Linked DNA regions of Saccharomyces cerevisiae S288C. The gene in region 3 interacts genetically with the main gene of each other region. Each region holds a gene or a part of one and is shown on either strand. Other genes may lie near its edges.

Region 1 (4,619 bases), on a different chromosome or scaffold from region 3:
ATCTTGTAGCTCCTGCTTGTGTGTTTTCTTGGCAAGAATTTTTTCTTCTAAAGTTTCAACGTTTTTTTTCAGTTTAGCTTGAGTTTCCTCCAACAAAGATAGTTCGGATTCAGCCAATTGTATCTGTGATTCTTTTTCCTGAAGTTGGAGGTCCCAAGGCTCCAGTTCCTTTTCATGCCGAATAATCTCTGCAGATATATTCTTCGTTTTATCTTTCAAAGATAGTTTAATATCATCAAGTATACTTCGTTCCTTTTCCAGCAATTGAGTCAAGTCTTTGATCTCCGTCTCGTGTTCGGTTTGTTGTCCACGAAGCTCTTCAAGCATATTCTCGGCCTCCGATATTGAATGTTTGGTGGATTTCAAAGTCTTTTCTGCTTTTTCCATTTTACTTACCAAATTTTTTGTTCTCTCTTCTAGAGACACCCTGGTGCCTTCTAATTCTCTTCTTTCTAAAACCAGGGTCTTTTCTTTCGAGCTACAAGATGATATTCGATCTTTTATTTCCTTACGTTGTGCTTTAATCTCATCCACTTTTTTCAAAGATTCTTGAAATTTCATCTTCTCATCTTCGAGGTCTTTATTCGAAGAGGAGATCTTTTCCAAGGTGCTGGCAAGTTTAGAGTTGCTTTGCAACAATTTAAATTGAAATAATTTTGATCTTAAAAGCGTCAGCTGCTTTTCCTTCTCTAAAAACTCTAACGCCGTTTCTTTCCCTGACTCTAAAGAGTTTTTTTCTCTATCAACAATTTCAAATCTATTTTCCTTTTCCAGGCAAACTTCATTTAGATTCTCAATCTGTCCCATTCGCTCTTCAATTAACGGCTTATAGTTTGCAGTTCCAATTATGTCCTCCAGATATTCCAGTAGTCCGTCGTCACTCTCTTTTTCTGCTTTAGGCTTCATTTGAGCAATATTCTCTACTTCACCTTGTAGAATTAAAAATCGTTTATGGTCTAAATCAATACCCTCATTCTTTAAAAGCTTTGTCACCTCTGTGTAGCTACTTTCTTTTTCGTTTATGTAATATTTCGATGAGTTGTTTTTAAAGGCTTTCCTTGTAATGATCAATCCAGGTTTTTCTTCATCGATTCGGGAAGTACCCGAAGATTCATCAATAACGTACTGAAAATGTACAGCTACGGAACATGATTGCAAACTTGGGAAAGCTTCTGATTTATGAATTAAATCCGACAATCTGTCCTGTCTCATCTTGTTCGCTCTAAATCCAAATACAAATAACATGGAATCGATGACATTTGATTTACCTGAACCATTGGGGCCTACCACGGCCGAGAAGCTAGTATGAAAGGGTCCTACTACTTGTTTACCAGCGTAGGACTTGAAGTTCTCTAAGACTAGTTCGTTAATAAATAGTCTGCTCTGTTGCTTGCTCGACGACTGGTGCCTATCATAAATTTTTTGTAGTTCAACCCTGCTATTTTTCACTGGCGAAAGCTGGAGCAATTCTAATCTTCTAGTTGGCGATCTTCCTGGAGACCTTGGTGGTGATTGAGAGTAGGACTTATGGTCGCGACCCCTAGAAGAGGTTTTTGGTGGTTGCAAGTTCGGTACATGTAATGACGTGGTTGTTGAGTTTGTAGGTTGAGAAAAGGCATACCGATTTTCCCCAGAACTTAAAACAAGCTTTCTGGGAGTATAAGATTTGGAATAAGATGCTTCCAACGCAGGAAGATCCGGCTCTGGTGTATTCTCGCTTAGGTTAACTCGGTTTTCTACCTGCGAATCTTCTTCGGCATCACCTTGATCAAGAGATAATTCTGGTTCTTGGGCGGACTTCCGCTTTTGTCTTTTGCTCAATGGACTATCAGACATCAAATATATTCTGTTGGTTGCACGTGGTTAGTGTTTAAGGTGATGCGGCTTCTTATAGGGCCTCTTTTATGGTATGAAATCGATTCCAGTGTGTAGATAATGTAAACCTATATGTATTTTCGTGATTATTGTAAACAGTTTACTTTCCGTCCATAATTACAAATGCATTTCAAAATGGGCCAAGAAGAACAAGAGAATTAATGCAAGACCAAAGGAGAAGAAGCGCAGAATCGTGGACAAGATAATTTAAACTATGGAAACACCACCCATTGTGATTGATAATGGCTCATACGAAATCAAGTTTGGTCCTTCCACGAATAAGAAACCGTTCCGAGCTTTAAATGCATTGGCCAAAGATAAATTTGGGACATCGTATTTATCAAATCATATCAAAAACATCAAAGATATTTCATCTATCACCTTCAGGAGGCCACATGAACTAGGACAGCTCACATTATGGGAATTAGAGAGTTGTATATGGGATTATTGCCTTTTCAATCCTTCAGAGTTTGATGGGTTTGATCTGAAAGAGGGAAAGGGTCATCATTTGGTTGCTAGCGAGAGCTGTATGACTTTACCAGAATTAAGTAAGCATGCCGACCAGGTGATATTTGAAGAATATGAATTCGACAGTCTTTTCAAGTCTCCTGTAGCAGTCTTTGTACCATTTACCAAGTCATATAAGGGTGAAATGAGAACAATTTCAGGTAAGGACGAAGATATCGATATTGTCCGTGGCAACTCAGACAGTACAAATTCCACATCAAGCGAGTCCAAGAATGCGCAGGATTCAGGTAGCGATTATCATGATTTCCAATTAGTTATTGATTCCGGGTTTAATTGTACTTGGATAATTCCTGTCCTGAAGGGAATACCGTACTATAAAGCGGTAAAAAAATTGGACATTGGAGGCCGTTTCCTAACTGGGCTACTAAAGGAAACTCTATCATTCAGACACTACAATATGATGGATGAAACCATACTTGTTAACAATATCAAGGAACAATGCTTGTTCGTTAGCCCGGTGTCTTATTTTGATAGTTTCAAAACGAAGGATAAGCATGCACTAGAATATGTACTTCCTGACTTCCAAACAAGCTTTCTTGGTTACGTAAGAAACCCCAGAAAAGAAAATGTACCGTTACCTGAAGATGCGCAGATCATAACACTGACAGATGAGCTTTTCACAATACCAGAAACTTTTTTCCATCCAGAAATTTCGCAAATTACTAAACCAGGCATTGTGGAGGCCATCCTAGAGAGCCTTTCCATGTTGCCCGAAATAGTGCGACCTCTTATGGTAGGAAACATTGTATGTACAGGAGGAAACTTTAATCTGCCCAATTTCGCCCAACGGCTTGCGGCAGAACTACAAAGGCAATTACCCACAGATTGGACTTGTCATGTTTCGGTGCCCGAAGGTGACTGTGCTCTGTTTGGGTGGGAAGTGATGTCACAGTTTGCAAAGACAGATTCCTACCGAAAAGCGAGGGTCACAAGAGAAGAATACTATGAGCATGGTCCCGATTGGTGTACGAAGCACAGGTTTGGTTACCAGAATTGGATATAATTAACTATAGATTTACATAGCAACAATGAAAATCCGAAAAGTCGAGACCTTCAGGTCATTTTCAATTTGGATTTTGTCATGTTTTTAAGAATCTTCCGCAGGCAATAATACATCTCATATGTTTTACATTTTTATTGACAAATTCCCAAATTAGGCAAAAATTCCTCTTTTTTAGTGGTTAGAAACGCCATTCTTCCCATTTTTTCGCGATACAAAAAAAGAAATATATGGAAATGTGGAAATGTCATCATCAGAAGTCTCGAAGGAAAGTGTGCGCTTTAATCATCCCCATACTAGACTTTGTAGGAGAAGATAATACAATTTTCGTTTTATATTTATACAGTTGATTGACCGGGAAACGAAGAAACGCAAGAGAAAACGATCAAAATACACCTGTTCTTCGTTACGATATAGAAATTAAATGTTTGTTCATCGTCTCTGGACACTCGCATTTCCTTTTCTTGTGGAGATATCGAAGGCATCACAGTTGGAGAATATTAAATCTCTTCTGGACATCGAAGATAATGTGCTACCGAATTTGAATATATCGCAAAATAATAGCAACGCAGTACAAATCCTCGGGGGTGTGGACGCCTTATCTTTTTACGAGTACACAGGCCAACAAAATTTCACTAAAGAAATAGGTCCAGAAACAAGCTCACATGGATTAGTTTATTACTCTAACAACACCTATATCCAGTTGGAAGATGCCTCTGATGATACTCGAATAGACAAAATTACACCATTTGGCGTTGATTCGTTTATTCTTAGCGGATCAGGCACGATAAACAATATCTCTGTCGGAAACCAGATATTATACAATTTGTCGACACTGTCTATGACGCCTATATTCAACCAGTCTTTGGGAGCTGTTCAGGCTGTGCTCGCAGACAATTCTTCTATCTATTTTGGAGGAAACTTTTCATATAATAATGGCTCCATGACGGGCTATAGTGCTCTCATTTGGGACTCCATATCAAATACCACCCAACTTTTACCTTTTGGAGGGTTTGGTGAAAACTCCAGTGTGAATTCCATAGTCAAGCTAAATAATGACAACATTTTATTTGCAGGCCAGTTTTATACACTGGATGATCCTTCTGCGCTTATCAGTAGTTCAAATAACGGTACGAACTCAACTTCCTCTTTAAACGCTACTACATTGGAGCTAGGCCAACGAATTCCACTGAGGTACGCTTCCTGGGATTCCCAG
Region 2 (4,131 bases), on a different chromosome or scaffold from region 3:
GGAGCCGGAGGGATTGCTTACCGGACGCTTGGCTTTGGATGGAGAATGATCTATGCTATTGATCAATTTATTTACTCTGCTGTTGGGAGACGTTTTCACGGGAGTCAACGTCTTCTTTTGTGGGTTTAGATGGAATGTTAAAGCCTGGCTTCTCTTTATGCTTGGTGTGGATGAGCGCCTATTTAGGGAATGATGAGGCCTTGGCGGCGTATTTTCCAGCGGTGAAGAAGAGGAAGAACGAGAACATGAGCTTCCATCACGAAGTATGTCCGCCTTGACTCTGGATGCTAGTGGCGTAGCATGAACGTCCAGAGGCGGAGATGGTGGAGATACCGTTTGTATTATAGTGGTTGACTTCGAAGTGGCGATTCTCTGCCTTTTAACCGCTTGTCTTTTATTCTGGAACCATATTTGAACGGCTTTTTCAGTCATATGGCAAGATTCAGCTAACTCAATTCGTTTCTCCTTCGATGGAGCAGGACATTTTTCAAATTCAGCCTGAAGAATAGATAGTTCCTGGGACGAGGTTCTTCTTCTCTTTCGGCGTGCTAGTGGAGCGTTGTCGATCTTAGGCTCCTTCTTAGGGAAGGTCTCCTGCGAGTGTGTGATGAAAGCAAATGCACGTCTTTTTTCCTTAGAGGCAGAGGGGATAATAATCGACTTCGCTGCAGAGAGTGGTGTTAATATGTCGTTTTTCTTTGAAGAAACCGAATAATCTCTCTTTTTGCTATTTAGGGGAGTCAGTAGAAGGTTTTCGTGTGATTCATCAACTGTTTCTTGAGAACTATTCAACTGAGATGAGAGGGCTGAGTCTGATTGCGTGTGCTTGAGCATGTCATCACCATAAGCGCTGCTATTTTCATGCAAGGATGTAACAGTGTGTCTCAAGGCGCTTTCCACAGATCTTGGACGATTGATACTGGTGTTTAGCGGTGGTAATTTTATGGTTCCGCGATCATCGAGGTGAAAACTCGTTCTTGGATTAGTGAAGCTTGGTGATACGGGGCTGGACGAGATTTCGGTTCCCGATAGAAGACTAGATAGAGAAGGTAGCATTTTTGTTTCTTGTGACATCAAGAATTGATCAAATCACAAAGATTGAAGGGGAAAGGTAGTGGTCTGGAACTGTTACCTCGTTGTTCTGTGGTCACCACTGTGTTTTCACCCAAATCATACTGAAATCACAACATAGAGTCTTGTTAAAATGCCAAGGCATATATATATATAATAATTACAAGAGTTCGTGTCCACTAAAAACCGTATAGAGCAATAAGTAGCCCGAAACAGCATACAGATTGTTCGCGTTTGAAGTTTCCACGTACTAGGTTGGACATACAGTTGCAGAAGCCTTTAAGCATCTGCAGTAATTGGCGACTATAGCGAGCTGTACCATTTTGACGCCCTTCCCAAAGAGGAAACCGGGCACCAGAAGGAATTCGCGGTGTTCCCCGTTTGGGGCATGGCGTGTCGCCTAGAAGGGAAATCATATGAAAGAAAAGAAGCGTCGCGTCTCAGCGTATGAAGGGCAGCAACAGAGCTAAAGTGAGTGTGGCAGTGAATGGTTTACGCGTTTTAGAGCCAGACGATGATTGTTATTAGAACTGAGCTAGTGTGAATAGCTTCTTAGACGGTAGTGTATCGTTTTGTCAGTGAATAGCATTAAGTTTATGGGTTTTATATATAGATAGATAGGTATAAACGTAAAGAGTGAATTTTAAATAAGTAGTCATTTAGACAACTCTGCAAGCGTCTTATTTGTTGGCAGCTTCGAAGTATTCCTTGGAGTCTTCAACGGTTGGCTTGATGGTAGCAGCACCTGGAGTCCAGTTACATGGCAAGACAGTACCGTTCTTGTCGGTCCATTGGAAGGCTTCAACCAATCTCAAGGCTTCGTCAACGTTTCTACCGACTGGCAAATCGTTAATGGTGATGTGTCTAATGACACCCTTTGGGTCGATGATGAACAAACCTCTCAAGGCGACACCTTCTTCTTCGATCAAGACACCATAGTCTCTGGACAAAGAGTGGTTGGTGTCAGCCAACAATGGAATGTTGATTGGGCCCAAACCACCTTCCTTTCTTGGGATATTGGTCCATGCCAAAAGGGAGTATTCGGAGTCAGTGGAGGCGAAAAGAACTTGAGCGCCTTGTTCTTCGAATTTCTTAGCAGCTTCTGAGAAAGCAATGATTTCGGTTGGACAGACGAAAGTGAAGGCCAATGGAATAAAGGCTAGGACAACGTACTTACCCTTGTATTTGTCCAAGGAGACTTCGTCAAAGACACCGTCGACGACGGCAGTTTTCTTAAAAGTTGGAGCTTGCTTTTGAACTTGAGCGACCATTGTGTATGTATGTGTATGTAGTTGTGGTTGGTTGTGAGCAATTGAACGAGGGGAAGGCCCGTTGAGAACGGTTCGGCATTGATCTGACGAATTACCTCCCTTTATATATGTCCTGGTTTGTTGCCAGCCGACTTTGCCAACCCGAGCCAAACCGAAAAATCCCTAAAGGACAATTTGTCAGAAAACCCGACGGGCCAGAACAGCATGGGTTTTCGTACACCTTAAACGCATTATATAACGTGGCCACATCGCATTGCAATTAGTCTTCATCAGGAATGTAGAGATGAGGTTGCGCACCTGTGGCGGTGGGTTCTTCCTCGTCAGGGATTATGAGGGCCTCATCTTCGTTTTCCTGCTGTTGGGCAGATGGAGCCGGTTGCTCACGGTCCCTTGCTCTCTGTGCAACAATATCATCCAGCTTCTCCTTCACATAGGGGAGTAGTGTAACCCAAAAGAGCACGAAGTTCTTTATCACAGCGGTTATCACCCTATCGTTTACCGGGTCTGGAATTATGTATCTGAGTACGACATCAAGGACGTTATGCTCCGCTATTTGCGAGCACAAGGTTTGGAACCATCTTCTGTACTTGGGTAGCGTATTGATGTCTTTCTTTTGGGACTCCTTCCAAATCATCAGCAGCAATTCGTTCAAAGAGTCTTGAGGATATAGTGTGTTCATGTTTCTTGTCGTTTCATACAATTCGAAAAACTCTTTGAACAACTCATCTAGCGCGTCCTTAGGAATCTCACCCGATAGCACCTTGATAAATAGCAAATTCAATTGTCCAACGTCAGGGGTGTTGGTGTCGTACTCAATATCATACTTAGAATAGACCGATAGCCTTTGCTCATGTAGATTAGGTATCATCAGTAAATCAATAGCGGATTGAGTGTCCTTACATTTCTTGTAGAAATTTAAGGTCAATGAATTGGAATTGATGAACTCCTTGATCTGGCTAAACTTGACTTCGTCAATTTCATTCAAGTGGAGATAGTCTCGCCATAAATTCCACACCTCTTGGGTATTCCAAACAGTCCTAAAAATGAAAAGCAAGCTTAGTAAAATGATATATTTCCAGGGAAGGAAGCTTCCAAACTCCAAAATAATAAAAAAGGGAACCAATGAATTATAGCCAATTAAGTAAAATGTTCTTATCAATACCAATAGCAGCGGGAAGCTGTTTCTCAAGGGACGCACTACCCTTCTATTCCACGCTGACTCGTCATTCTCAACTGTATTATTATCATTTGCCGAAGAGGTATTATCTGCAGCTCGAACATGCTCACCAGACGGATGCAAGAGTGTCGAATCCCGTGGTCTCTCGATTTTGAAGTTCAAAGCAGATTCTAACTGCTCTATCGCAGATGGTGATAGCAAAATATTATCGCCATTAATTCTGTAGTCATTACTAGATATGGGGATTTTAATTTCACCGTAATCGCCTTTGATCACGGACAAATAGCTCGATTGTGGATTTAGTTCGCTAACAGGAATGAATACTACTTCATCCCCGTTGATAATGCATTTCCTATAAAGCTCATCTGTGGGCACGATGTCATTTCCAGATTCGGTTACGTATGGTATACCCCGTTCTTCGCCACGTATTGCAGCAGGAGATCGTCCTTGCGTCGGAGCGAAACTAACAGGTGACTGTGACCTTGTATCTGGAGGCATGAATTGGAAAATATTCGGATTGTTGAACACTTCATTCCAAAATCCAGGCCCAGATTCTGTATACTCTTGGTTGATTTGTACATGGACCTTCACTTCATGTGGCTCTTTAATGTA
Region 3 (3,864 bases):
CACTGCTTTTGAAGCAGAAAATACGGTTAGCTCAAAATGGCAGTACTACATCTACAGAAAACCCCATTTCCTTCTCACAGACCATGTCCGAGATATTTAGCGTCTTGCAGCCAAGTGCACCAGATCTAGATGAAGACGAAACAAGTGGTTTGAAACGCGATCATTTATTAACTGAGCGTCTAAACAACGGCGAGCTTGGTGTCATTATGAACAAATTCTTCAATCCGTCTTCGACACATAACAATCAGTTGATAGATACGAATATATTACTTCAGAATTTTCCTAAGTTAAGTGGTAATGACTTAGATTTATTGGATTTTGCCATAAATGAGAAAATGCGAGGAAACTGGAATGATCTAAAGCAAGATTTCATTCAGTTGTGGTACTACAAGTCATTTGGCTTTCTTGGACCTCGAACTCAATTTGTCCTGACAAACTCTTCTCCGTCAGTTAGGTCCCAATTCTTGAAACTTCCATTCATCGAATATAATTGGTTTCTCCTACAAAATAACAAAAACGCAAATATACTACCTGCTGATGTGCAAAACGTGGTCAAGGTGTTTCATCTTGATGATAAAAGGTTTACTTGGAAGAGCATAGATCCATTCAGCAAAGCTATAATTTCATTCGTCGTTTTTGTTTCCATATATGTGTGGTTGGATGAAAGTGCAAAACAAAAAACGAAGGAGCTGCCCGCACAGAAGAGTACTGTAATATCAGAATAAAAAAAAATGGGGTCACTCTTCATTCTTGCAGTTAAAAGTGCCACTCACTCATGATTTTTTTTTTTCCTGTTTTTTTGATTTTTTTTATATATTATACATTAAGTTATCTAAGTAAATATATTCTTTCTACTCTAAATAAGTATTCCTTGAATCAAACACAAAAGATACGGGTATCGGCAGTTATAACCGATAACAAATTGTCCTTATTTCTCATTTCACGTTATTTTCTCCAAAGAAATTTATGGTAGAGCAGTGTTTCTTTTTAGTATATTATTTATATGCAATGTTTCTATCATTATTAAATTTTCTTTACGGTATAAAGTAGAAGATGGAGGAATAGAAAGCAAACGGATCGATAGAGAAAGAAACTCACGATGAAGCCCTATATTTGATTGAACAAAAAGGTAATCGAATTCATAATATCGGCTCGGCATTCATCATTAAGATTCTTTTGATTTTTCTCAGTCTGCTTCGTCGTCGTCGTCGTCGTCATCATCATCATCATCATCGTCCATATCGTCCATATCATCCTCCCAAGATTTCTCTACCGTCTCCTTAACTCTTTTGACGTACTGTGATTTATGATCTTTGAATAATGTTGCAGCTTCAACGTTTGCTGGCGAAGCTGGATTTGGATCGTTGAATAAACTTTGAATGGATGTCAATATGGATGCGACATCATATGTTGGAGTCCATCTGTTCTGCAAAATATCCAAACAAATTTCACCATTTGCATAGACATTGGGATGAAACATTTCACTCAAAAATTTGACATGCGGTGGCTTATTGGGATATTCTTCATCAAACTCCAACAATAACCTAAAAGTTCCGTCTTCATATGGAGTATCGGCTGGCCCGATAATCATGGCGTTCCATACCATGACGTTATCAGGTAATGGTGAAGCAGATACACCCGGTGGGGCATCTTCCTTCATACGTTTAAAATCTCTCATCAACCTTCTTCTAGCTGGTGTGGACATGACGCTTTATCTTTTAGTCTCTGTCTGCCTAAAAATAATCTTTGGAATTCGATCTTCGTTGATTTTCCACTCTACTATTTATGTCATCAACTCTGCAACTTGATAGTTCTTTCCTTTTTTTCTCTTACACATTCCATTCGCTTTCATTTTTATTTTTCCAGCTTTCTACTCCGGCTACCCGGAGGTGCCTTTTTGTATATACATACACTAATCCGGGAAATGTAGTCACCATACTAATATTCCGAATATGTATTTGTTCCTTGGTATATAGTGTAAGCATGGTTAGCTCACACTTTATCTAATTGTAGTTTCTTCGTATGCTTCATCAAGTTGCCTAATTTTAATACAACATCGGTACCATATCCAGGCATTGAATGCAATGAAAGGTCGCCGTTCCAATATTCAGCATACACTTTACACATGGCTAACCCAATCCCAAGCTTGTATCTAAAAGACCGCTTTAACAATTCAATTAGGGGAGTTTCATATTTGATGTGCCCATTTATGATGCTAGGATAACTCATTGGTTCTAGCGACGTGTGCATGTACGGTTTTAATGTTATTGACTGCAATGACTTCAGTTTGGAGTTATATTTAGTATGGGAATGTACTTCGTCATAAATAGATACTGTTTGTAAACCAGGTAACTTGTGAAAATTATTTAGGGATTCTTGAGCCCTTTCTTTCGATTTACCGAATGACCATAGATTTTCATCATCATGGAGGACGCCCCCAGCTTTATCTGAAATTCTAAACAAATAGGATTCATCGTTACTTACTACAGTTACTATGATTGGTTCCGGCTTTTCTAATCCCTTACGAATATAGTGTTTCATGGTTGCTTCGTAAGTATTTCGAAGGATCTCCCCTAACAAATACTTCAAATGTGTAGGCAAAAAGTAAAAGCTTAGTTGAGTGTCACCTTCGATAATAAATTCTGGCATGGGAATGTCTTTAAAGTACATATCTTGGATAAATTTTTGAGATTCCTCACTGGCTTCCAATAAATATTTTTTAGCGCTACATTCTTGAAAAATATCACCCAATACCAAGGTATTTTCCTCCTTACCACTAGTGTAGTTGGCTGTGATACTGACGTGTTCCTCTACAATCAATCTTCTTGATATTCGAGCTCTTAACAGATCAGATAGTAGTTGGTCCATTTTTTCACGAGGATAAAGATCCAAAATTGTACATTCTAAAGCCCCCATTATCAAATGTGGTAAGTTTAGAGTATTGAAGCCTTCTAGCATATTTTTGATAAAATCTGCAAATTGAGAAGCGTCCTCTAAAGTTCTTATAGTCGGATATTTTCTAAAGCTTTCAAAAATATTGTAATATGACTCATAAACTTGAACAAAATGGAAGTTGTTCACAACATTAAATGGAAGTTGTTGCAATTGATTTAATTTATGCGCGATCCTAATTACCAGTTCTTCTTTTACAAATTTCCCGGAATTGATGATCTTGGTTCTGGTCAGCTTGGTAGAATCGTCATAATATTGCGCTAACTGCGTTAATGATACTGGATTTGGACTTCGTTTTAAGTAATTTTCTACTAATACCGTTCTATTATGATAGTAATGCTGCGGATTGATATATTCGGAATTTGAAGGGTATGCCTTCATGGTTTCCATGATGTAAGGTGCCAATTCTTCATTTACGGGACCAATGCAGTATTTCGTGAAATCAGGGATCTGCGAGATATTAGATGTCCTGAGAAAGTGCCGGTATCTTATGCAATTAATTTGATACTTAGACATAATTACAGAACTATTTATCCATTGACCAATCTCTCACGATCTTCATCTTTTACGTACTTTCTGGGTTCCAATGCAAGTATCCCATCCCTTCCCTTTTTATTCCTTGACGATCGGGCGATGAAATCTGAAAAAAATGAAAGTTTGGATGACTCAAAACATAGTGTTTCCCTTTAATAGAATAATTCGATTTACTCGGGAACAAAAGAGAAGAGCAACTAATTTACTATGTAGTTTACGAGCGTATGTTCATCTCTTCTATATATTCTCCCAGAGTATTATTGGAAATGTTGATGAATGCTAATTCAGGCTCACCTTCTCCTTGAAATGATTCGGAGATTTCTTTATTGATGAGTGTTAACAGACCCAAATCCCATTTGTTCCTTAAACTAACAAAAA
Region 4 (4,619 bases), on a different chromosome or scaffold from region 3:
ATTAGACTTGAAAGGTAAAGTTAGCACAGATGTCCAAGAAAGTGCACATGAAAACGCCATTGTGGAATTAAGACCTTTTGCGGAATCCAACGGCCAAATCACACAAGTCTCTTCCTGTGGGTTAGACGGTAAGATCGTCATTTATACAATTTAAATATACATACGTATATATATATATTGTTATGTGTATTCCCTACCTCATAATACACCTTGAGTTTGTATTGTTTTTTTCTTCACTTGGCATATACAGACTATATTATTACAACTCACAGCACAATGTAGTGTACCGTAAAAAATAAAGCATCAGAATCAATTTCTTGCACCAAACCATTATTTAGAATTGCTACCCAAAGACTCCTGTTCTTGCTTTCTTTGCAAGATAAGCGAGTACACGCTACCTTTTAGCAGTGTCCCAACTAAACCAATTTTGACCTCTATGTCCCTCATCTCCTGTAGTATCTCATCTGGCGATACAGTTTCTTGCTGTGAATGCTGTTGCCTGTGTTGCGAATAGTTTAGTTCTTTTATAGTTTCATCCAGAGCTTTTAGATCTAAAGAAAGCTGTTTGTATTTGTCCAATACTTCTTGCTGTAAAGGTGAAAGATTGTGTTCCATACTGTGACTACAACGCCGTGTATGTTTCACAGCGACTTTGACTGGCTACTGTAAGCTCTTCTTTTGTATTCTTTGGAATAGTTTATTTACATGTAATTACTGTAATAGCGCGCAGCCGAGCTAAAAAAAAAAAAAATACAAAGCTTTTGATCAATTTGTTACAAAGAGAAATAATTCCGCGTACGTATTTCTATTGATATTTATATATCTACATTCATTCAATTTATTACCTTTTCTTTTATTTTTTTTGCCTTTTGTAGTTTCTGTATTTTTATTTTCTATGTGTTTTTATTGACTAGCAGTATATTTAGAGGGGCGACCTTCTTTTACGTTCAGCATTTGATCTATCAATTTCAATTTTATTGCTAATCAACATAATAGCAGCTTGGGACGCCATGAACGTACCTCTTATGGTAAGTCTTCTCTCCGAAGAGCCTTCTACAGGATCTTGTATAATAATTGAACAACCTGTGGATTCCTTGACCGAATTTATGTGCTTGCCATCTTTGCCAATGACATTTCCGACAAATTTCTCATCTATGAATATCTCTTGTTGTACAAAGTTCATTAATAAATGGTTGCCGGGTGCCGGACTGATAACAGGGCCGTCTAAGACTGTCACATTAGGGATAACGAAGTTCGGTTGAAAGGCCGTTGCGTTTGCAACGCTAGCAGTAGTATACTGCGGTGTGGCCATACTCAACAAAGTAGATGATATTGGTAAATTTTTGTTGGGTTTGTATGAAAGTAGTTTATCGCTTGGATGATATTGGTGGTTTCTTTGATGGAAAATGGTGTTCGGTTGGCTATGGTCTATTAATACTGAGTTAAACTGAGTTGGCTGATAGTATATGGACCTTTTCACATTTTTCTGCGGAGATTCCATCTGAAAGTTTAGCAATGTTTGACTAATGTAGAAAGTAGCAATATGGATAGCATCCGGAACCCCGTTAATGGTTAAAATTCTATCGTTAGAAAGCAGCAATTGATTCGGGGACGCGAATAATTTTGCTGCACTCAAATCCTCAATTTCTCTTAACCGAGACCCACGTTTGCCAATTATACATCCCATAAGATGATGAGGGATCAATAGGTTGATAGAAATCTCAATGTCTTCCCCGTTATCTTCGTTACCATGTTCTTCAAGCAGCGCTCTTACTATCATGCCGTATGCCTTGGCTACATCATCGCAAGTACCCCTCACGTAAACAATTCTTTCAGGAACACCTCTGATATTATTTGATATGTTTATTCTAGCAGAGGTTTCGGATTTTATTCTAGATATAGTGGCGCCCTTGTGTCCTACTATCAGTGAAGCGTGTTTGACTAAGCACAGCATTCGTAAATGTACATCAGAGGGAACATTGTCGGGGGAATCGTGGTCGTTGTCAGAGTGGCTGTCTGCATCCTTCAGGGCCACGCGTTTGATTTCTGCTTCCAGTTGTTCCTCGCTGGTGTCTTCACCCTTTTTCCTTTTGAGCGTGTTGGGAGAAACGAGTACAGTAGTTGGTGTAGTAGTGATTGATGGTTTTGTAGTCTCTGTGGACATAATTGAGCTAAAGAGTATTACAGAAAGATTATTTAATGCCGCGCTGGACGATTAAAATTGTTAGAGTGGATGTGGCTATGGATAAGTTTGAATATGAAAAAGGTTACTTATGCGGCTAACGACTAGGTGCGTATTTATCGTTTGACGAGTATGTACGTGTTTTCTTTTGTATCATGATATTTCGTGTAAGTACCATATCGGGGAAAGACAAAAAAAAGTGAATTAAAGAGCGAAGTTTAAAGATGATGAATAGGATTAATCGACAAGTAAGAAAAAAGACGAAAAGGCGTAAACTGGAATAATATTGTTTCAAGAAAGAAAACCCACTAGCCTATAAATGCCAGAAGTAGAGACAAAGATTATACCAAACGAAAAGGAGGACGAGGACGAGGACGGCTACATAGAAGAGGAGGACGAGGACTTCCAGCCTGAAAAAGATAAATTAGGTGGTGGTAGCGACGATAGTGATGCCAGCGATGGCGGTGACGACTATGATGACGGTGTGAACAGAGATAAGGGTAGAAATAAAGTGGACTATTCGCGTATAGAGAGCGAGAGCGGCGGACTGATCAAGACTAGAAGAGCTCGGCAAGCTGAGGAAGAATATGCGAAAACACATAAGTATGAATCGTTAACTGTTGAATCGATCCCTGCAAAAGTAAACAGCATCTGGGAGGAGCTACAGGAAGCTAGTAAGAACCGTCTTTTGAGCAGTTCAGGGAAAGTCGGCTCTGTTCTCGACGGTTCCAAGGAGGCTAGGTCGACAACGGCCGCGCAACAGGAGGACAAAATCCTCATCGAAAGAAACTACAAGTTTGCTGGTGAAACTGTCCATGAGAAAAAATGGGTTTCACGCAGCAGTGCGGAGGGTCAAGAATATCTAAACAGTTTGAAATTTAAGCAGCAGGCGCCTGCTGCTCCTGTTCAACTGGAAAAAGCAGTTAGGACCAAGTCCAATGAAAGCCGGCAACACTTGCGACGGCCACTGAAAAGGCCTCCATTGTTGGAGCAGATCATTTCTGGCGGGCTACGACCCAAGCTAACGACATTAGAAAAATCTCAGCTGGACTGGGCTAGTTATGTAGACCGTGCTGGACTTAACGACGAATTGGTGCTGCACAACAAGGATGGGTTCTTGGCCCGGCAAGAATTTCTGCAGCGGGTCGGGTCTGCAGAGGACGAGAGATACAAAGAATTGCGCCGGCAACAACTTGCTCAGCAGTTGCAGCAGGATAGCGAAGCTTCATAGACAAATATTACATGTATTAAATAACATGCTTTTCTGCTCAAATTTTTTTAACCGCCGAGGCCTGCACACTTTCACTACGTGTATAACGATGCTGCAGACAAAGTAATGGGGTGTATGGGTGTGGGTGGCAAAAAAAACCTAGCAACGCTCTATGTTTCTTTTCTTTTTTCTTTCTTTTTTTTTTTTTGCCGTTTCCGATGGGCCACTCGGTGAAAACATATAAAAAGGGCTCTACATTCATTTTTTCATCGATGAGTACTTTACTTGTTATCAGATTTATTCATTTTGTTTCTACTTGTTTTTTTTTTAAATCCCCACGAATCTCTTTGCCTTTTGGCTTAGATCAAGTGTAGTATCTGTTCTTTTCAGTGTAACAACTGAAATGACCTCAATGAGGCTCATTACCTTTTAATTTGTTACAATACACATTTTTTGGCACCCAAAATAATAAAATGGACGGGAAGAGACTTTTTAAGCAAGTTGTTTTCCGCTAATGTCAGGTCTCACTACTTTTTGCTGCTATTTTTCTTCGCTCATGGTTTCTTCATAAGGCGTTTTTATGATGGTTTTTCGAAATTGGTTTTTGAGACGACGGTTGCTCAAGGTTATTGTTTTTGTTTTCTTCTGGTTGTTTTCTATTTTCTTTTTTTTAGCTTTCTGTTTCTCCCTTAGTTTGGCTTTTTGCTTCATACTCTTCCCTGTCTTTCCGAGCCGTTTATGTCCAACGCGGGATTTGGTTTTTCTTTATCGATGGGAAGAAATGGTGCTATAGTAGGTTGGGAGATAATATTTATGGTATGGGGTGCTAGTGCGGATGGGGCGCTCTTATTGTTGATTTCTTCGCTCGTCTTCTTTTTCTGGTGGCGCTGCAAGAGGAAGTTTTTCGACTTTGTTATGATTTTTGGTTTGCAAGGAAAGGTGTCTTACGATTCTTTTTTTGATGTAATAGGATAAGCTTGCTTATCCCCCAAGTATCGGCCAAAGTTGTTGATTTTCCTTTTGAAGTGTCCTCGGTTTGAGGGGGTGTAGGGTGGGGTTGGTCTACAATAAGAGTGTTCCATTGTTAACGTGCTGGCGTCTTTTACTATATTTTTTTTCCCAGTTTATTTTGTGCTTATTTTCTCATTGAGGAGAAGGAGCTCTTCTCGCAGGATATAAATGGAGGTTTGCTAAAGGGGAGGAGATGTGTTTGTGAGAATACTGCTG

Evidence for each region.
Region 1: mutations in RAD6 (region 3) and ARP6 are lethal when combined (synthetic lethality), as found in Saccharomyces cerevisiae (5 studies listed by BioGRID, with this or other methods).
Region 2: mutations in RAD6 (region 3) and TSA1 are lethal when combined (synthetic lethality), as found in Saccharomyces cerevisiae (7 studies listed by BioGRID, with this or other methods).
Region 4: mutations in RAD6 (region 3) and SWC5 together harm fitness more than expected from each alone (negative genetic interaction), as found in Saccharomyces cerevisiae (6 studies listed by BioGRID, with this or other methods).

The regions. Positions count from the first base shown.
Region 1 is NC_001144.5:299,460-304,078, reverse strand, and holds ARP6 (Arp6p), read left to right. Parts: upstream 1-2,089; coding exon 2,090-3,406; downstream 3,407-4,619. Other genes in the region: condensin subunit SMC4, read right to left, coding at 1-1,836; RAX2 (Rax2p), read left to right, coding at 3,828-4,619. UniProt on the Saccharomyces cerevisiae protein: Component of the SWR1 complex which mediates the ATP-dependent exchange of histone H2A for the H2A variant HZT1 leading to transcriptional regulation of selected genes by chromatin remodeling. Involved in chromosome stability.
Region 2 is NC_001145.3:218,349-222,479, reverse strand, and holds TSA1 (thioredoxin peroxidase TSA1), read right to left. Parts: upstream 2,343-4,131; coding exon 1,752-2,342; downstream 1-1,751. Other genes in the region: YOX1 (Yox1p), read right to left, coding at 1-1,074; USA1 (Usa1p), read right to left, coding at 2,602-4,131. UniProt on the Saccharomyces cerevisiae protein: Thiol-specific peroxidase that catalyzes the reduction of hydrogen peroxide and organic hydroperoxides to water and alcohols, respectively.
Region 3 is NC_001139.9:391,827-395,690, reverse strand, and holds RAD6 (E2 ubiquitin-conjugating protein RAD6), read right to left. Parts: upstream 1,706-3,864; coding exon 1,187-1,705; downstream 1-1,186. Other genes in the region: GEP7 (Gep7p), read left to right, coding at 1-725; protein kinase PKP2, read right to left, coding at 1,993-3,468; YBP2 (Ybp2p), read right to left, coding at 3,701-3,864. UniProt on the Saccharomyces cerevisiae protein: E2 ubiquitin-conjugating enzyme that accepts ubiquitin from the ubiquitin-activating enzyme E1 and transfers it to a E3 ubiquitin-protein ligase.
Region 4 is NC_001134.8:680,973-685,591, reverse strand, and holds SWC5 (Swc5p), read left to right. Parts: upstream 1-2,501; coding exon 2,502-3,413; downstream 3,414-4,619. Other genes in the region: ARC40 (Arc40p), read left to right, coding at 1-154; DAD3 (Dad3p), read right to left, coding at 331-615; telomere maintenance protein PBP2, read right to left, coding at 923-2,164. UniProt on the Saccharomyces cerevisiae protein: Component of the SWR1 complex which mediates the ATP-dependent exchange of histone H2A for the H2A variant HZT1 leading to transcriptional regulation of selected genes by chromatin remodeling. Involved in chromosome stability.